Linked DNA regions of Arabidopsis thaliana. The protein of the gene in region 2 purifies or fractionates together with the protein of the main gene of each other region. This does not show direct contact. Each region holds a gene or a part of one and is shown on either strand. Other genes may lie near its edges. The genes, in order: PAF1, AT4G19006, RPT5B and AT5G26360.

What was found.
Region 1: the proteins of AT4G19006 (region 2) and PAF1 fractionate together in Arabidopsis thaliana (co-fractionation; one large-scale study listed by BioGRID). This does not show direct contact.
Region 3: the proteins of AT4G19006 (region 2) and RPT5B fractionate together in Arabidopsis thaliana (co-fractionation; one large-scale study listed by BioGRID). This does not show direct contact.
Region 4: the proteins of AT4G19006 (region 2) and AT5G26360 fractionate together in Arabidopsis thaliana (co-fractionation; one large-scale study listed by BioGRID). This does not show direct contact.

The regions. Positions count from the first base shown.
Region 1 is NC_003076.8:17,158,515-17,162,917, reverse strand, and holds PAF1 (proteasome alpha subunit F1), read left to right. Parts: upstream 1-1,761; 5' UTR 1,762-1,942; coding exon 1,943-2,293; intron 2,294-3,162; coding exon 3,163-3,648; 3' UTR 3,649-3,874; downstream 3,875-4,403.
Region 2 is NC_003075.7:10,408,645-10,413,218, reverse strand, and holds AT4G19006 (Proteasome component (PCI) domain protein), read left to right. Parts: upstream 1-1,751; 5' UTR 1,752-1,871; coding exon 1,872-2,021; intron 2,022-2,324; coding exon 2,325-2,771; intron 2,772-2,965; coding exon 2,966-3,046; intron 3,047-3,139; coding exon 3,140-3,336; intron 3,337-3,425; coding exon 3,426-3,870; 3' UTR 3,871-4,071; downstream 4,072-4,574. Other genes in the region: AT4G19010 (AMP-dependent synthetase and ligase family protein), read left to right, coding at 1-65, 293-482, 766-911, 989-1,056, 1,188-1,290, 1,379-1,504. UniProt on the Arabidopsis thaliana protein: Acts as a regulatory subunit of the 26S proteasome which is involved in the ATP-dependent degradation of ubiquitinated proteins.
Region 3 is NC_003070.9:2,935,977-2,940,901, reverse strand, and holds RPT5B (26S proteasome AAA-ATPase subunit RPT5B), read left to right. Parts: upstream 1-1,538; 5' UTR 1,539-1,643; coding exon 1,644-1,760; intron 1,761-2,104; coding exon 2,105-2,221; intron 2,222-2,460; coding exon 2,461-2,568; intron 2,569-2,686; coding exon 2,687-2,878; intron 2,879-2,976; coding exon 2,977-3,168; intron 3,169-3,264; coding exon 3,265-3,383; intron 3,384-3,460; coding exon 3,461-3,548; intron 3,549-3,629; coding exon 3,630-3,749; intron 3,750-3,929; coding exon 3,930-4,070; intron 4,071-4,149; coding exon 4,150-4,227; 3' UTR 4,228-4,374; downstream 4,375-4,925. Other genes in the region: AT1G09130 (ATP-dependent caseinolytic (Clp) protease/crotonase family protein), read left to right, coding at 32-105, 326-379, 454-537, 750-830, 1,043-1,171; RBOHB (respiratory burst oxidase-like protein), read right to left, coding at 4,407-4,516, 4,606-4,925. UniProt on the Arabidopsis thaliana protein: The 26S proteasome is involved in the ATP-dependent degradation of ubiquitinated proteins. The regulatory (or ATPase) complex confers ATP dependency and substrate specificity to the 26S complex.
Region 4 is NC_003076.8:9,254,529-9,260,736, reverse strand, and holds AT5G26360 (TCP-1/cpn60 chaperonin family protein), read left to right. Parts: upstream 1-1,708; 5' UTR 1,709-1,845; coding exon 1,846-1,870; intron 1,871-1,964; coding exon 1,965-2,026; intron 2,027-2,117; coding exon 2,118-2,190; intron 2,191-2,490; coding exon 2,491-2,558; intron 2,559-2,638; coding exon 2,639-2,708; intron 2,709-2,903; coding exon 2,904-2,972; intron 2,973-3,053; coding exon 3,054-3,125; intron 3,126-3,240; coding exon 3,241-3,314; intron 3,315-3,605; coding exon 3,606-4,268; intron 4,269-4,344; coding exon 4,345-4,470; intron 4,471-4,616; coding exon 4,617-4,721; intron 4,722-4,822; coding exon 4,823-4,897; intron 4,898-4,990; coding exon 4,991-5,176; 3' UTR 5,177-5,684; downstream 5,685-6,208. UniProt on the Arabidopsis thaliana protein: Molecular chaperone; assists the folding of proteins upon ATP hydrolysis. Known to play a role, in vitro, in the folding of actin and tubulin.

The DNA.
Region 1 (4,403 bases), on a different chromosome or scaffold from region 2:
AGAAAGTAATTATAAGTGAAAACATATAAAAACGTTATAAATCATAGTATATGCTAACTTTAACTAATCTATATAATAAATAAATTAAAATTTTGAAAACAAATCATCAAATATCAAATAAAGAATAATTCTTGGGTTCACTTCTAGGGGGTGAACCTAATTTATTCACCCCCTCTTTAATAACAAATCAATATTTGCCATGTTATTTGATTAAAAAAACTTAAAACAATTAATATTATCAAAATAAAATAATTAAAATAAATCATTAAAACCCCACTTTTTTGTAAATCCAAACCGATATATAATCTCGTTTAATTACCAAATCTAAGCCCTAATTCTCCTTTATAAACCCAAACCGCCATTTAGACTTATTTAATCGTTAAAAAACAAACCATAATCGTATTTTCTAAACCCAAACCGACATTTAACCTAGTTTAATTGTAAAATCTAAATATGTTTATAAGCCCAAACTAATATTTAACATCGTATAATCATAAAATCTAAACCCTAATCGTATTTTGTAAACCCAAACCGATATTTAACCTCGTTTAATCATAAAATCTAAACTCTCATTTTTTCTAATAAACTCAAACCGATACATAATTTTCTTTTAGTGGCAAATTAGATTTAATAGTTAAATTAATTTTTTATTATTATTACTAGTTTGTTAGTTGGGTTTAAAAGTTTCATCAAAGGAGATTTCATAATTGAATAAGGTAAGTGACGATTTTAAAATAGCTTGTTTTTAGAAGTTTTTCGTTCTAGGTTTGTTCTTATTGCATGTAGCTAGTTAGCGTCATGAACTAGTAACTGATCTTAGGGAGATAAAACCACAAAAGTGCTGAATTTATTTACTTGATCTAACATACATAGACTAGAAACTACGTTATAACAATACAAAAGCTTAGTTGTAGAGCTTTGTTTGTGGAGGTAAAGGAACTTGATCTCATTGGGTGATTGATTTTGTGGCTACAACAAAAATCTGAGTAGTTAAGTTTTTATCGATGCTACAAAATTCAATCCCCTAGTCATCTGTGATTCCAGTTTAAGGAACTTGAGCTAAACTGAATATGCTTTTGTTAATCTTCTTGTATGAGACAATATGAACTTTCGCGATATTCTTAAAGACTCAACGATTAATTATCATACAGTTGATAATAATAGTCGAAAATAACAATCGTTACCAATCCACTTCTATATTATGTATAAAATGATTAAAACTATATTATAAAACAAATAATAATTCAAATTTAAATAAATATTTAAAAATCAAAATTCTATTAGTGTTGTACAAGCACATGTTATGATCTACTTCATCACTATATTCGTCAAAACTAAAAATGTATGACTTTTCAGCTGTCATAAAAGTTTAGAAATATACAATAAATTAATTTTAAGATATCAATTTTAAAAATGATAAATGTTCTAAAATTTTAAATAGGATCAATCACAGAGACTTTTTTTTTGTAACAATTCAAATTATATGATTACTAATAACAAAATCGCAAAGTTTTATATTTATAAAATTAATTCATTTTTATTTAGTTTCAAATAATATACAAGAATATTCAAGCTAGTGTGCTCTGTTTTGTCTAATGTTTTTTTTTTTACTGAGAACTATTGACCAAACTCTTTTGTACATATTTAAAGATTCTTAAACAATTTCACATTTCATCAAAAAAAAAAAAAAGAATATACAAGGATTATCCTGTATAAAAACATAGGCCTAAAGTCTGTATAAAACATATGCCTAAAGTCTTAGCCCAATAAGCTAGATACCGAGCCAATACAAAGCCCAGAATTTAATAGAAGCCCATTAAATCGAGAGAGAGATCGAGAGCATCCATGGCTTGAAGGAAAAGAAAAGTTTTGTTTCTGAACTTTCGTCTCTATAAACCCTTTCGACGACGAGTGAAGAAGAAAGCGAGACGAAGAAGCAAAGATGTTCAGAAACCAATACGACACAGATGTTACGACATGGAGTCCAACAGGTCGTTTATTCCAAGTGGAATACGCCATGGAAGCAGTGAAGCAAGGATCTGCAGCAATTGGACTCAGATCTCGTTCTCATGTCGTTCTCGCTTGTGTTAACAAAGCTCAATCGGAGCTTTCTTCGCATCAGAGGAAGATCTTTAAAGTCGATGACCATATCGGTGTTGCAATCGCTGGTCTCACAGCCGACGGTCGTGTATTGTCTCGGTATATGAGATCGGAATCGATTAATCACTCTTTTACTTATGAGTCTCCTCTTCCTGTTGGTCGTCTCGTTGTTCATCTTGCTGATAAAGCTCAGGTTAGGCTTTTGTAGTTTGTTGATTGAGATTTGGTGGAATTTGGAATCGATTACGCTTGGTTTTGTGTGATTCGGTGATAAGTGTGTTGTAATTGTTAATTGAAATTTGAGGAATTTGGAATTCGATTACACTGTGAATCACTGAGCTCAAATTTAGCCATTAGCTTCTTGACTTTGTGCTTAGGGTTTGATCTGAGCTGATTAGGATTCTAAATTGCATTAAATAAGAGTTTTCTTAATTTATCATAGCAGAAACTTGAATCTTGTTTAGTGAAATTGTTTGCATGTTTGTTGTTACTGCTGCATAATCTTGTATTTAAAAGTTTAACCATAACTAAGAGCTTAACAATAGGATTCTAAAAGAAAGAGATTTGTGTTTCTTCTGGTGCTTTTGCTTGTTTCTGCAGTTTTTATTTGGAGTTATTGATTTTCAGTACCTCTAAGAAGTGAATTCCGCTCTTTGTTTTGCATCGTTCTCACCACTATGCACTTATCTTACCAGTCAATTACTCCTGCTAGGTGCTTGTTCGACATCTTTTCTGTAATTATGTGCTACTTCTCACTTTGTTTTTCCACCTATCTAATGGTTTCTTAAGTTAGCTGTTTTATCCACATCTGCATAAATACTTTTCAAAGCCATTGGGAAGAGCTCCCATATATTATATGTGTTTATAAAAGGAAGGGTCTTGTATTTCCTCATTGTCAAACTTTATTAGTTGGTTTACTCTTTTGTAGGAGAGATTTTACTTGACAGGTCCAACTTAAGTTACATTATTGTCATATTTCTTGTCTTTACCAAGGGTTTTTTTTGTTATATTTCTTGATCTGGAAAAGGAAATATTTATGTGTATGTTTGCCTTTATGAACAGGTCTGTACCCAACGATCATGGAAACGACCCTATGGTGTTGGTTTGCTGGTAGGTGGATTGGATGAGTCTGGAGCCCACCTTTACTACAACTGTCCCAGCGGAAACTACTTCGAGTACCAAGCTTTTGCTATTGGATCCCGTTCCCAAGCAGCAAAGACCTATCTGGAACGCAGGTTTGAGAGCTTTGGGGATTCTTCTAGAGAAGATCTGATCAAAGATGCTATTTTGGCTGTTAGGGAGACATTGCAAGGGGAAACACTGAAGAGTTCTCTCTGCACAGTCGCTATTCTAGGAGTCGATGAACCGTTCCACTTCCTGGACCAGGAAGCAATACAGAAAGTGATCGACACATTTGAGAAAGTGCCAGAGGAAGAGGAAGGAGAAGGCGAGGCTGGTGAGGGTGAGGCCGAAGCTGCCGAGGCTGCACCAGCAGAACGAGGTGGTGGTGTTGCAGGTGACCAAGACGTGGCTCCAATGGAAATGTAAGGCTTGTGTGTGTAACGCTGGAACTATTTTATTTCGATGTTAGTTGGATTTTTACTTTGCAAAATGGCTGCGGGTTTAGATTATATGCTTGAGAAGTTGAAACCATTTCGTCATTTAAACTCAATAGCTGCCATCAAGACTTTCTCGTATTCTGGTCTTTTGGTTTAAATCTGAAATCTGTTCACGACTTCCTATCTCTTTGGTTCTGCAATTCCTTGCTAAAAAAGTGTGTAGTGTCATCTAACTAGGGCTGTCAAGCAGGCCAAGCCAGCCTTGTTAGGCCTGCCCTGCAGAGGGTTTTAACAAAAAAATTGACCAGCCTCAAGTTTCCTTCGAAGGTTAATCTAAAATTTGTTAACCCAAAGAACTCCAGAATTTAATGTTAAATCGTAAATTATGATAAAATCATTAGCTCGACGTCATTTAGTCTAATAGAAAACATAAGTGGCCCCCTACATGGTGACGACTACGAAAGACTTTGGATAATGGGAACCATGTAAACCAGACCCATTGACTTTGCCGTCTCTCTTAATCATTTGCTTTATCCAGCATCCGTTCTCGTATATACACCAAATTAACCATCAAAGGAAAAAAAAATGATCAAGAGTTTATCATTGCATCTAAGAGCTAGTGGATCATATAAAATTGAATTAACAACGAACAGTCATGTTTTCGGTGTCAAAAGACATTGTGAATTAAACATACGAAACTACGTCAAATCGTTTAAGGCAATTGGAAAACACAAGATCTTTTAC
Region 2 (4,574 bases):
CTCCTTTGAGTAGGAAGTTCATTGAAGATTTCCTTCAGACTCTTCCTCATGTCGATTTGATTCAGGTCTCTGAATTTTACTTTTGGATGTCGTTTTAGAAAACTGAATTAAATGTTATTCATTCATAAACTCAATAAGAAGTAGAATCTACATTTTTTAGAAAAATTTGACATCTCTTCCCAAAAGAAACAACTAAAATTGATTTAACGAGGCCATGACTTTTTGACTCACACTATTATTTTCTTTACATTTAGCTGAAAGTGTGTATAAAATGGATCACATTTTGTTGCAGGGATATGGAATGACTGAATCAACTGCAGTTGGAACACGGGGCTTCAACTCGGAAAAGCTTAGTAGGTATTCTTCTGTGGGACTACTGGCTCCTAATATGCAAGCCAAGGTAGTAGATTGGAGCTCTGGTTCTTTCCTTCCACCAGGAAACCGAGGAGAGCTCTGGATACAAGGTCCCGGTGTCATGAAAGGTAGATAGATTCTTCCTACTGTACTTCTTTACCAAAATAGTTGAGATTTTCCTTCTCAGTTCATGAATAAAGTCTTTTGTCAATGGTTCAAATCACTGAGAAACACTTGCATCCTAATAAATGTAAATATAGATTGGATCTTCCAACTTTCGTGGGGCTTATTTGGTGCTTGTGTTGATAGATTAGGCTTATTATCTTGTTCTTGATTTTGTGCTACATATTTTTATGGAACAGTTTTAATTTTACTTGGAGAGAATCTGAACACCGTTCATTTGTCTGTCAGGATACTTGAATAACCCAAAAGCAACTCAGATGAGTATAGTTGAAGATAGTTGGCTACGTACTGGGGATATTGCTTATTTTGATGAAGATGGTTACTTGTTTATTGTTGACCGTATTAAGGAGATTATAAAGTACAAAGGCTTTCAGGTAAAGGAACAGCAGTTTCTCTTTCAGCCAACTCTAAATTAGGAAATATTAATTCTTTGCATTTATGGTTTTTGCAGATCGCTCCAGCAGATTTGGAGGCTGTTCTTGTTTCACATCCCTTGATTATCGACGCTGCAGTAACAGCGTAAGTTCGAAAAAACAAATCTTGATCATTTACTAAACTAGTTTAATAAGTGAAAGATACTGCAAATCCAGTTTTGGAGAATTCGACAGAGTCTGTTACTCTACTGAAAGTATCCAAACTTTCCATTTCAGTGCCCCAAATGAAGAATGTGGAGAGATTCCGGTAGCATTCGTTGTCCGGAGACAAGAAACAACACTTTCAGAAGAAGATGTAATAAGCTATGTAGCTTCTCAGGTTAGGTTCCCACTAATTCAAAATGGCTTTTCCCATTTCAAAACACTGATCATTAATGTAATACATTATTATACATTACGTGTTCTAGGTTGCACCCTACAGGAAGGTGAGGAAAGTGGTGATGGTCAACTCTATACCAAAATCTCCAACTGGGAAGATATTGAGAAAGGAACTAAAGAGAATTCTTACAAACTCTGTTTCTTCAAGACTATGATTCTTTCTTCATTTGTTTGGTAATAAGTAGCAGACAGAGAGATCCACTAATATAGCCTTCATAACTCAATTCATTGGTTTTGTAGCATCAAAAGAAATAAACAGACACATTCTTTGATTCTCAGTGAATAAAGCATTGTAACCCAATACGGAAACAAAAATTCTTTCTGAGCCCAAAATGTAATTTTAGCCTTAGTATTTTATTTACATAAAAGTCCTTTTAATCGTTGGCTATTGCATTTATCGCCCAATACTTGTCTTTGAGCTCAAGAAATATAGTTTACTAAAAGGCTGGGTTTTTCTGGATTTCTTACTCCCAAACCGATACAAGATCGAAGCTTTGCCTTCTGTTTCTTCGAAAATCTACCATGGCTGCTCTACAATACCTTGAATCGCAGAAAAATGCGCACCCAGAGCTTGGTGAGTGGTACAATTCGCTCGCAGATCTGTACCAGAAGAAGCTCTGGCATCAGCTCACTCTTAAGCTCGAGCAGTTCATCGCTCTCTCTGTCTTTCAGGTCAATCTCTTGAATTTTCATCGTTTCGTAGTTCTTCTGTGTGATTAGGGTTCATAGATCTCGAGAAAGTTAATAGGAGTCGTCATGTTAGACTTGGGTTTATAGAGAGATCTGAAGGATTCGTTCCGACTCTTAGGTGATTTTTCAGATTCATTGAAAAGCTTTGTATTGGTGAATTATCGCACTTCTGTGACCAAAGCTTTCGAATATTTTAGCTCAGAGATACCCAAAAACTCAGCTTTACAAGGTTTACAGATTTGTTAATGACGTGTTTCCCCCTGTTTATGTTCATAATCTTTGCAGGCTGGAGATGCTTTAATACAGCTTTACAACAATTTCATCACTGACTTTGAGACGAGGATCAATCTTCTGAAGCTTGCGCATTTCGCTGTTGTAGTCTCCCGACAGTATCCTGAGAAAGAAGCTGCAGTTAGTTATCTTGAAGGAGTGATTGAGAAGCTTAAAGCTACTAAAGAGTCAAGGATAAATGAACCAATTAGCTATATAGAAACACAAATAGCTTTGTTCAAGCTTGAGCAAGGTGACCAGAAGGAGTGCAAGAAAATCTTGGACGATGGAAAAAGCCTGCTTGATAGTATGACTGACATTGATCCATCAGTTTATGCCAACTTCTTTTGGGTCTCTTCTCAGTACCATAAAGTCCGTCAAGAGTTCTCTGAGTTCTATAAAAATGCTCTTCTTTACCTCGCTTATACGTCTGTGGACTCACTCTCGGAATCATTTAAGCTGGTACGTCCCTCTGAATGTTCTAATCATTCATATATGATATATGTAGTCGTTACGTTACCAAATGGTCTTTTAGCAATTTTGGATAAGTATTAGCACTCTATGAAAGGAAACTTACAGTGAAAAATGCTTTATCTCTGTAAATTGCTTTGTGTTCCAATCAAAATGTTAATATCATATACTTTCGTTTCTTTCAGGATTTGGCTTTTGATTTGTCGCTTTCAGCTCTACTTGGGGAGAATATCTATAACTTTGGGGAACTGTTAGCCCATCCAATTGTAAGTTTCCCTTCATCCTCCAAATTAGCAAACCACAGATTTATTCACCATTATAGATAAAAGAACACTGACATGTTATATATGTTATGGCAGTTGAAAAGTCTGCTTGGAACAAATGTGGAATGGCTTTACCACATTCTACAAGCATTCAACCACGGAGATTTAGTTCAGTACCAAGAACTCTGTCGTGTGCACAATGCATCGTTGAGTGCTCAACCAGCACTGGTTGAGAATGAGAAGAAACTATTAGAGAAGATCAACATTCTCTGCCTTATTGAGATCATTTTCAGGTATTCATTCTCTGTAGGAGTCATCTTATACCCATATACAGATGAAAACAAACTTAGTACTTAACTTGTATATAACATCTTTGCCACAGCCGACCTGCTGAAGATAGGACCATACCTTTGAGTGTCATTGCCGAGCGTACTAAACTTTCAATCGAAGATGTTGAGCACCTTCTCATGAAGAGCTTATCGGTGAGTACCTTTTTCTTTCCTCTCTCTTTCTCTCTATCTCATTCTATCAGTAACATTAAAAATCTAAAGAAGATTGGCAAGACGCAGACTCGAAATCTTCTTGAATGTGTGATTCTGTATTGGTTGATTGTGAAAACTGAGGAGAATGAGTTATTGCAGGTGCACTTGATAGAGGGAATACTAGATCAGGTGAATGGAACAGTTTACGTCTCATGGGCGCAACCGAGGGTGTTAGGAATACCGCAGATCAAGTCATTGAGGGATCAGCTAGACAGCTGGGTCGATAAGGTTCACACCACATTGTTATCTGTTGAGGCCGAGACACCTGATCTTGTTGCAGCTTAAACTCTTCTTTCCTCTTTTTTCCTTCACTGTTCGTTTAAGCTACAGATTGTAACATTCTCTGAGGATTAAATGCAACTTCCTTTTAAGTTTTTAGGTATTACAGTTATACTTTTGAACTTTGTTCTCCACAGACACATGAATCTATCCTATTAAGTTGAGTTTCATCGTTAGTGTTGCCTTTAAGGCTTAAGCCTATTTGCATAACAAATGGTCCAACTTTTGTTATTAGACGTGTGAAAAACTCATAAATCTCAAATAGTGGAATGAATCCAAATTGTCAACTTCTGAAATGAAAAGTGTAAGGGTAAAATAGTCAAAACATATTAAACCCCAATTATCACCATCGTTTCGTTTCAATCAAAATTTTCCGATTTTGAGATTTTGAAACAGAGCAGTCAAGTCTCAAAGACTCCAGCTCATCTGTCTGCTTCGTAAGCTGCTCGCTCTCTAAATGTTTTGTCTTCTGGGGAATAGATTTTAGGGATCATCGGTAGATGCTGTTGGATTGACATAATCCAGATCTGATTTCTTCTACAAAAACATAGCTTTCTTCTCTGGGAACAATAGATTTTGATTGTTGTTTCTGGGTTTTAGATTTCTAATGTTGGGGTTTTGGTGATTCGATTTCTCAATAATGCTTCAAAATCGAAAATTGAATCGGTTAGAGCTATTTTGGGAATCTCTTTGCGTTAATTCGAATTAGC
Region 3 (4,925 bases), on a different chromosome or scaffold from region 2:
CCTCTCATACGTTTGATTCATTATGTCACAGCGATGATTCAGCAACCACGTGTACCTTCTTCTGGGTTGATGCCTGCCAGTGATGTCCTGATTCGGGCCAAAGAGGTTTGATGAATCGCTCTACACACTTAATATTCTGGAAATTTAAATTTGATCGAGATTTTCTCTTTCTGCTTTGCTTCTACCTACTTTCCTATATTATATCTCTGATAATTTGGACAGAAATTTCTCACTTAAGCATTTGGTTCAGAATTTCATGACCTAATTAGGTGAAGAATCTGAGTTTGATTACTTCATCTTCCTCATTCCTGTTATGCAATTGCAGGTCATTACAAATAGGGATATACTTGTGGAACTACTATCAAAGCATACTGGGAATGTGAGTGCGAAATATTTTCATAACTTTGTGGAGAAATTTGATAGCTGATTAAAACATTCTTATATGTCATATAGTCCGTGGAGACTGTAGCTAACGTAATGAGAAGGCCATATTACATGGATGCACCAAAAGCTAAAGAATTTGGAGTCATTGACAGGGTAAGTTTGGGCACTGTAATTTTTTGATGTTGCTTTTCATATGCACATACTAAAAGATTAAAGGTTACATATCGTCACCAAGCAAAGTAACCTTTCCAGTCAAGTTTCCCTCTCTTCTACCTTTTCCTGATGTTTGCCTGTGCGTAATGATGAATTTGTTTTCATACTTTTCCAAGTTAAAGCTTTAAAGATGGTCTCATAATCATTGGCAGATTCTTTGGCGCGGTCAAGAAAAGATTATTGCGGACGTGGTTCCTTCAGAGGAATTCGACAAGAATGCAGGGATTAAAAGCGTAGTATGAGTCTAGTCTTAAGTTTTCTTGGCCTAAATCATACTGTAAGTGACACGCGTAACTCTCCATTGCTACTCTAGGCATGAATCCATCTTATTCATGGAAATCTCTGATGAAGAAATACAAATGCATCTAACTTACCTGCAAATCATTAGAACGCACGCTTGTATTTACAATGATTTGTATTTTGCTTGAACTCTACTCATTTGCAGGCGTCATGGAGAAGAACAAATAGACTGACCAAAATCACATTGGCCGCAGACTGCCTTGTTTCAAATCACTTGGTAAATGTGAACATGCGATTAGGAGAATCATACTTAAAGGATCTTGAAATATTATGATAAAATTGTAATGTGTTTGTTCGTTAGCAATAGTAAATACAATCTTCAACTCTCTTCTTCACCCTTCCGATTTGAATATTGAACAGTTTCTTACTTGTTTCCATTTGGCTTCACTTCTTTTTTGGTCAGCTTTTAAGAAAACTACATCATCAATTTGACCAGATTGCTTAGCAATAACTTGATTTTAAAATAGATATAAGATACATTGTGAAAAAAATAAAAAGGATACAAAACCAAAAACGCTCCGATGCCGGGAATCGAACCCGGGTCTCCTGGGTGAAAGCCAGATATCCTAACCGCTGGACGACATCGGATTTGTTGTTGGGTATTGACTGTGATAATATTTAATACAATACATGTGTTATTAAATTAAAGCTGTTTCTTCGCCCAAAAGCCAAACTCTGTTTCCTATTTATGTCTTCTGAGATCTCTCGTAGACTCTTACAGTGATTAACTCAGGCTGCTAAGGGAGATGGCAACGGCGATGGCGGAGGATACGAGCTTCGAGGGAGACCAACTAGCTTCCATGACTACTGATGACATCGGTAGAGCTTCTCGTCTCTTAGCCAACGAGATTCGCATCCTCAAGGTCACCACCCTCTCTCTCTTCTCTCTATATTTTTAATCTGCTGGCTACTTGGAACTAGTATATTTCTTCATTCCAAGCTCACTATTACCTTAATTTGATTAGCGACACTTTGATTAGTTTTGAAGAAGATGGATGATGTCTGAGAGCAACGATAACTCTTGTTTCATATCACACTTTTTATCAGTCAAAGATATCGAAATTCACTCAAAGTACTTGTTTTTATAGTTAGATAATTATAGAATATGATTAGAAGACATTTATATTTACTGGTCTTTTGCTCATTGGATGAAATTCACCAGAATTTTTTGATGTCTTTTTCTCTCAAATACGTTGATTTGTTGTAGGAAGAATCGCAGAGGACAAACCTTGATTTGGAATCAGTGAAGGAGAAAATAAAGGAGAACCAGGAGAAGATTAAGCTTAACAAACAGCTTCCTTACTTAGTTGGCAATATCGTTGAGGTACTTTCACTGACTCTTCTCTTGGGGTGTTTCACATTCCTTATATGGGGCTTTTGGTTTTGGTATGTATAACATTCCTTTTTGTTGAGTGACACAATTGTACTATGCTTTTGATTACTAGTAGTGTTAGCCTGATGAATTCCTTGAATCTTTGCCACAGTAGTTCAGACATTTTACCATCAAATTTTTTTTTGTGTAATGATGGAATTAGGATTTGATCTATTATCCGTGCTTTCTAGATTCTTGAGATGAGTCCAGAGGATGATGCAGAGGAAGATGGAGCGAATATCGATCTGGACTCTCAGAGGAAGGGAAAGTGTGTCGTTCTAAAAACATCAACTCGTCAGGTGAAGTTTTAGACTCTTATATCACCGTTAGAGAGATTTTCAGAACTAGTGGGGAACAAACTCTGACTACTAGTGTAGTGTTTGTATAATGATCTCATGGGTTAATTATACTTTTCAGACCATCTTCCTCCCTGTTGTTGGACTTGTTGATCCAGATACATTGAAGCCTGGGGACTTAGTTGGAGTTAACAAAGATAGTTACTTGATTCTGGATACTTTACCTTCTGAGTATGATTCAAGAGTAAAAGCAATGGAGGTCGACGAAAAACCTACTGAAGACTACAATGATATAGGGGGACTAGAAAAACAGGCTAGTTGATGACTCTCCTGTTTCATGTTTCCTTAGTTTTTAGTATCTCTGGTACAATATTTGATGTTGGTGACTCTCCTGTTTTTGTAATTAAACAGATACAAGAACTTGTTGAAGCCATTGTGTTGCCAATGACTCATAAAGAGCAGTTCGAAAAGTTGGGTATCCGTCCACCAAAAGGTGTACTCTTGTATGGTCCTCCTGGAACCGGAAAGACGTTGATGGCCCGAGCTTGTGCAGCACAGACAAATGCAACTTTCCTCAAACTAGCAGGGCCACAACTTGTTCAGGTATGAAAACTAGAGTAAACGTAACTGATTTTGATCTTGTTCCTGTGATATTTTTTGAACCAAACGGAAAGTAACTTTTTTTAGACTTATGTATAGATGTTCATCGGAGATGGAGCAAAACTTGTCCGTGATGCTTTCCTGCTTGCAAAAGAGAAATCCCCTTGTATTATATTCATAGATGAGATTGACGCAATAGGGACAAAGCGTTTTGATAGGTACTCTATCTAGAGTCATGTCATAACTATTTTATTTTCTTTCTGATGACTAATGCTGACTTTTAATTGGCTTACAGCGAAGTTAGTGGAGACCGTGAGGTACAAAGGACAATGTTGGAGCTGCTCAACCAGCTTGATGGATTCAGCAGCGATGATCGCATTAAGGTTGTTACCCCTCATATTACCCCTGCAAATGTCTATTTATTTAGTGAAAGGCATGAAAAACTCATAATTTTACAAACTTAGGTTATTGCAGCGACAAATCGTGCTGATATACTAGATCCTGCCCTTATGCGTTCTGGTCGTTTGGATCGTAAAATCGAGTTTCCGCACCCCACTGAAGAAGCTAGAGGCAGGATCTTACAGGTTCTGTATCCTTTACTGCATCTTTTCTTTTTTCTTTCTTTATTTCTATGTCGTTTTAAAGCTAAAATTAGAGAGCTTCATGCACTTAGACAAGTCTTGCTGTGATTTTCTATGTATTCCGCGGATAACTTATCTTGGGTACTGTTTTGTTTTTGCATAATGTTGGCGATGGGGTTACAGATACATTCAAGGAAAATGAATGTGAATGCAGACGTCAATTTTGAAGAGCTTGCTCGGTCAACGGATGATTTCAATGGAGCTCAACTCAAAGCAGTGTGTGTTGAAGCGGGTATGCTTGCCCTGCGCCGGGATGCAACTGAGGTATGCATATATCTTTCGTCTTAGTGGTTGTAACTTTAGGATGTGGATGATATGGAGGAAATGGTAAATGTGTGTGCAGGTGAACCATGAGGATTTCAATGAAGGTATAATTCAAGTACAAGCCAAGAAGAAAGCAAGCTTGAATTACTACGCCTAAGTCCTCTTTTATGTACACTCTTCTTTCTCCTCTTTACATTATAGAAAACTTCAAGTTGTAGTCTCAACTTTTGAATCTAGAACCCCTTCAAAGTGTGGTTATAATTATAATAGATATCAGCTTGACATATTTTGCTTATTATTTTCTAATGATGGTCTGATGGATGAATAGAATCGAAACTAGAAATTTTCCTTGTGGAACTCAAACTTGGTCGTAGTTTTCCTAGAGAAATCTTGAGCCAGTCTCTTTAACTCTCCTATGATGCATGTATTACCACAGTAGAAAACCCCTACCAACAAAATAGAAAAAGGAAAATCAGTTACTTACTAGAAAGATTCTACAATAGCTATGGAATTGTTGTAATAGCTAGTGACATACCAACTCGTTGATTGACGTGGTTGACTGCGACGTGCTTGAAGACACTACGCCAATTGGGTCGAGCGAAATGGGTTCGGACCCGAGTGCCCGATACGATGTCAATGCCGCTCTTGGCGTGGTGCAATGACTGCAACATGGTGATTAGTGCTGACCTCGCATCTCCTTCCTCATACACGCTAGTGCAGTAATTATGTAGTTCAATCATCCCCTCACTATCATACTCAGCTACCTCGTTCATGACCTCACTGAACCATTCCAATGATCCTTGCTCTCTTGTTACCCAATAAAAATAAGCTCGTTTTGTGGCAACATAGTTTTTT
Region 4 (6,208 bases), on a different chromosome or scaffold from region 2:
CAAAGCAAAAACTATAGCCTACATAACAAGGTTCAACACAACCTGATTACAAAGAATTCTATAAAACAAAGATGGGCCTATTTCTTTGATCACACTGTGTCTTAGTAAAAACTAAGAGTCTCAAAGTCTGTAATCTGAAAAATCAAAGGAAGAAAAATTCAGGGAAACGAAACAAACACAAATGAGAAATCAAATAAATTAGCGAACCAAATTACAAAAACCTAAAACAGGAGGGAAAGCACTTACTCTTGTTATAAGAAGTAGACTTGACAAAAATAATCTTAAAAGGAAAAGATGATAACACTGAAGAGTTTGGAACAACTTTCTGACGGGAGATGGATTAGGTCGAGGGAGATTATACTATTAACAGAGGAAAAAAACCAAAAAAAACTCCATTTATTTTTAATTTGTTCATACCTGCGTTATTTAATTTGGCCGTTTAATACCTAAGTTAATTTTTATGTTCATTAAAAACCTTCATTTTTTTAAATTTTGGCAAAATCAGACATGCGAGTTAACGGGCGTTAACAATGGTAACGGAATCGCTAACCGCAGTTAAAACTTAACCATATAATGTTTACTATTTATATACAATTTGTTTTCTAATAGTTATGATCATATTATCTTAGTCCCAGTGGTTTTGAGAGAGATTATCATCCTCATCAGTTCGAGATCGATTCTCATCTCCAACAAATTTTTTGATTTTTTTTTTTAACAAAAGGCAAAATCTCAGTAATCCGAGTTACGATTTTGAATTTGATTCTGAGACTTTCTTTTGTTTAGCACCACGTTTGTTAGATCTGCTTCAATTCGATTTTGAGAACGAGCTAAATTAGATTCCTTCATCTCTTCAATTCATATTAAGGTTTTCAATTTCTAGATCGATTGATATGAATAAGTCAGCAAAGATTGCATATTCCCAGTTTTTGCTGATATTTTGCGTTGAAAAATCCAGACTTTGTTTTTCATTGTTAGTAACGTTGATAGCTTATAGAAAGATTATGTTACCATTAATTGCATCTGTTGATAACAAATAAGATCGATTATCACAAATCTATGTTGTATTAATTGGTCTAACATTTGGGACTTTTGGTTGGTGATTGATTTTGGTGCAATATCCTTTGGAGAAAGAAGTGAAGCAACACACAAGTGCAAAGCCTGTTGAAGTGAAAGAGATGGCTGACTTCGATTTTGCCTTTTTGTTAAAAAAAAAAGAAAAAAAATCAAAAAAAATTTTGGAGATGATAATCGATTTTGAATCGATGATGATGGTAATCTCTCTCATAACCACTCGACTAAAATAATATGTTCATAATTATTAGAAAACAAATTGTATATAAATAGTAAACATTATATGGTTAAGTTTTAACTACAGTTAGCGATTTCGTTACCACTGTTAACGCCCGTTAACTCGGATGTCTGATTTTGCTAAAATTAAAAAAAAAAAAAAGGTTTTCAATAAACATAAAAATTAACTTAAATATTAAACAGGTAAATTAAATAACGCATGTATTAAACGGACAAATTAAAAATAAATGAAGTATTTTTTGTATTTTTTCCCTCTTAACAAATTAGGTTAACAATTCTCCCGTTCTCACGCATCTTTACCTAATCTTCCGGATATAAAAATACTATTACTTTGTTTTGATCTTACAAAAAGGCCCAATGTGTGAAATATTAGTTAATGGGCCTTAGGGATGGGCTTCTCAACCTAAAATGAAAAGCACGAGAGAGGATGAAAGAAATCGGAGAAGGCAGTAGGATCTTCCACTTGCCGCTCTTTGAAAATCACTCGCCGTGTCTCTCTAAGCTTCTTCTTCACTGTGAAAACCTCAGATCGCAAATATGCACGCACCGGTACTCGTTCTGAGTGAGTATCTCCATCTTCCTCCAGATCTCATTTCCTCTAAATCGATATTAGTTTTTTGGTAACGAGATTAACTCCTTTTGTGAAAATGGTTTAGGCGATTCGTTGAAGCGTGAATCTGGAAGTAAGGTTCATCATGGTAATATCCAAGCTTCCAAGGTAAATTAATCCTTTTCTATGGCTCTTTTTCTCTGTGATGCTTGTTGCTTCTCTCCTCTGGTTTCAGATCATCGTTGTTTTTGTGGTACAGGCTGTTGCTGATATCATTCGTACAACATTGGGTCCTCGTTCTATGTTGAAGATGCTTCTTGATGCTGGTGGAGGTCTTTTTCTAAACACTTCCTCTTTTTTTTAGGCTTTTCATATCTCTGTATGTGGGTAGTAGATCTCTGTAGTGAGGGAATTAGGTTTAGTGTTTTTAGCTTTGGAAATGTTTTTCTTATGTACTCGTTCTTTGTTGAAGCTATTGTTCTTCAGTTTCGGTGTTAGTTTTATATAAACCCTAAATCAATATTTGGGTTCTGTTTGTCTTGTTTTTTTTTTTTTTCTGTCTACCTTTAATTTTTCTTAATCTGTGTGTTATCATCATATCTTACCCCTCTTTGTTTCTTGGATCTTTACAGGGATTGTTGTTACTAATGATGGGAATGCTATTCTTCGTGAGCTAGATGTCGCTCATCCTGCAGCTAAGGTTTTACTTCTGACCTTTCTCTATCTATTGTTCTTGTTAAAATTGTTTTACTTATCCATTTTTGACTCTGGTGATTGCAGTCAATGATTGAGTTGAGCCGTACGCAAGATGAAGAAGTTGGTGATGGGACAACGTCTGTTATTGTTCTAGGTACGAACATTCTTTTTTGCTAACAAATAGTTTGTCAATGGCTTGGTTTGGACCAGTTTTAATGTATTTTTAACTAAAGCACAAACAAATTACTTAAGGATATTATGGGTGCTGCAGTATTCAGTTCAACATCATGATCTCTGTTTATAATCATGGGTTCTTGAAGTCCTCTTTTTGTTTGCTTTTTGCCAACAGCTGGTGAAATGCTTCACGTTGCAGAAGCGTTTCTTGAGAAGAATTACCATCCCACAGTCATATGCCGAGGTATGCTGGCACTATGAATTGCTTATTGTTGTCATGTTACACATGTCGTTTTCATCTTAACGAATGCATTCTTCTCTGCAGCTTACATCAAGGCTCTCGAAGATTCTATTGCTGTTCTTGACAAAATTGCTATGTCAATTGATATCAATGACCGTAAGTCCATTTCTACCTTGTATTTGTTCATTTGGAGTTGACCTTCAGCTACTTTGGTTTCTGAAGTTAGTTTTTCTTTCACGTTTGTACTGATGGAAGAATGTGTGAGTTGCAGGTTCACAAGTGCTAGGATTAGTCAAGAGCTGCATAGGGACAAAGTTCACTAGCCAATTTGGAGATCTTATTGCGGTAAGTACCGTAATTACAGTAGCTTCTTACTTATGCATTACCAGTCCAGGTTTTATTGCTCCTTAATATATATTGGATATGTCTAGACAAGTAGGTATAGATACAGCATACATCTTGAAGTGACTTTTTAAATGTAAGATGAGTAACCATGAAATAACTTGAATTTGATGACTGCTTTCTTCAATTCTTTTGGTGGTTTTCGATTGTTGAAATACTTGTAGTATGAAGTTCTACAAGTTTGATTGTCGTTGGTACTCACATGATTTTATATGACTTTATGTACTGTTTTAGGATTTGGCTATTGATGCCACTACTACTGTTGGTGTTGATCTTGGACAAGGTTTGAGGGAGGTAGACATTAAAAAGTACATCAAGGTTGAGAAAGTTCCTGGTGGTCAGTTCGAGGACTCTGAGGTTCTTAAAGGAGTTATGTTTAACAAAGATGTTGTTGCTCCTGGTAAAATGAAAAGAAAGATTGTCAACCCACGGATTATTCTTCTTGACTGTCCTCTTGAGTACAAGAAAGGTGAAAATCAAACCAATGCTGAGTTGGTTAGAGAAGAGGACTGGGAAGTGTTGTTGAAGTTGGAAGAGGAATATATCGAGAACATTTGCGTTCAAATACTAAAGTTCAAGCCTGATTTGGTTATCACAGAGAAGGGTCTTAGTGACTTGGCCTGTCACTATTTCAGTAAAGCTGGGGTAAGTGCAATCCGAAGGTTGAGAAAAACTGACAACAACAGAATCGCCAAGGCTTGTGGAGCAGTAATTGTGAACAGGCCCGACGAACTGCAGGAGTCTGATATCGGTACTGGGGCTGGCTTGTTTGAGGTCAAGAAAATTGGAGATGATTTCTTTTCTTTCATTGTTGATTGCAAAGAACCCAAAGCCTGTACTGTACTCTTAAGGGGACCAAGTAAAGATTTCATCAATGAAGTGGAAAGAAATTTACAGGTTCGTTGGTGTTATTTACAAATCTGTATTTCTTAATCATTCATAACCTTATATGCCTGAAACATTGTCCCTACAGGATGCCATGTCTGTTGCAAGAAACATTATCAAAAACCCAAAGCTAGTTCCTGGTGGAGGAGCCACAGAGCTAACCGTTTCTGCCACATTAAAACAGAAGAGTGCAACAATTGAAGGCATAGAAAAGGTCGGTTTTGCTTTTATTACATTTTGTTTCCTTGCCTAAAGTTGTGTGATTTTGTGTCAAATCTATATCGAGCCTCTAAAACGAGTATGCTGTTCCCACGGTCGCTGATAAATGTTCTTTTGTTGGTCTGAATCTTATTTAAACAGTGGCCTTATGAAGCAGCTGCCATTGCTTTCGAGGCTATTCCACGTACCCTGGCTCAAAACTGTGGGGTTAACGTGATCCGTACTATGACTGCATTGCAAGGGAAGGTACTGTCCTGTACTAATGAACCCCAACTGCCATCTCTTGCCCGTTGTTTAAGTATATACCAACTCTTTTCTCAATGCTTCAATTGTCGGTTTTGGTGCAGCATGCAAATGGTGAAAACGCATGGACTGGTATTGACGGGAACACTGGTGCAATAGCTGATATGAAAGAGAGCAAGGTAAGGATTAAATCACATAACCTTGGTTGATTCTCACAACATGAAACCAATGTGACTCAGAGAGTTGACTAAAAGCTTTTAACAATTTTCCAGATATGGGATTCGTACAATGTGAAGGCGCAAACTTTCAAGACGGCTATAGAAGCAGCGTGTATGCTTCTAAGGATCGATGATATAGTGAGTGGAATCAAGAAGAAGCAAGCTCCTGGATCTGGACCTTCAAAGCCTACCATTGAGACAGAAGGAGATGCAGACAACGAACAAATTCTTCCCGACTAAGCGAAGGGAGAAACACTTTGGTCTCAGCATAACTCAATCTCTGTTTTCACTTGTTTAATGGTTGCACTCTTTTGGCTATTATCTTCCCTTGACATATCTTTTAATTCTGCAGTTTGACTTGGTGAGATAAGATTTTCGAGGGTGGTTTTTTTTTGTTTGTTTTGGAATATTAGCTTTTTTGAATTTTCGTAGTCACTTTGTTGGTTTTTAGAGTGCTAGTTGTTATTGTCTTTTTGAAATTTCTGGCACTAGAGACTTTTTTAGTTTGTGTCGTTTTTGTTTGAATATCATCAAGTATGTACTTCAACTGGATCTTTAGTTGACCGGTTAGTGTCAAATTGTGTTTTTGTTTGAACACCATTAATTGCATTTCAGACGTACGGATCTGTTATTTAGAGTTTTGGGTTATTATTCAGGTTGACTCGGTCCGAATTTATTTATACGGGTTGGTTTTGTTACTGAAAACCTTTAAACTTCGCTAGTTAAATGAAAATTGAAAGTTTAGTTATGTTGATCTTGATCTAATTTTACAGTAAACTAGAGGAAATACGGGCTACGCCCAAATTTATTTTAAAATTTTATTTCTGTTTTTTGTATTGTTTTTAGTTCATATATTTTTTTTTAAATTTGCTATATCTAAATAGAAAATTAGTTTGAATTACTTATATTTTTATATACTATCTATTTGTGTTATTTAAAATGAAACTGAATCACCTTTTATTTTTATTTTATTTTATTAAAGATGATTGTAATATAAATAGTTTTTCTTAACTCAAAATAAATGGGTTTGTTTTCACAAGACTTTTTTATTTTTTCATTTCTTTGAGGTTTTGTTTTGAATAATTATTGGATTTTCTTTTGTTGGGTTTAGTTCATTAGTTGGAATTATGTATAGTAAACGTATTAAACTCAATGGGTGGATAATTTGTAAAATTTATTTGTAAAAGCTAATTTTGTATTATTAGATTGGTAGCATATTGTTCAATTCTGCATATATACTAATCATTTATTAAATAAAAAAAGTTAATAGTT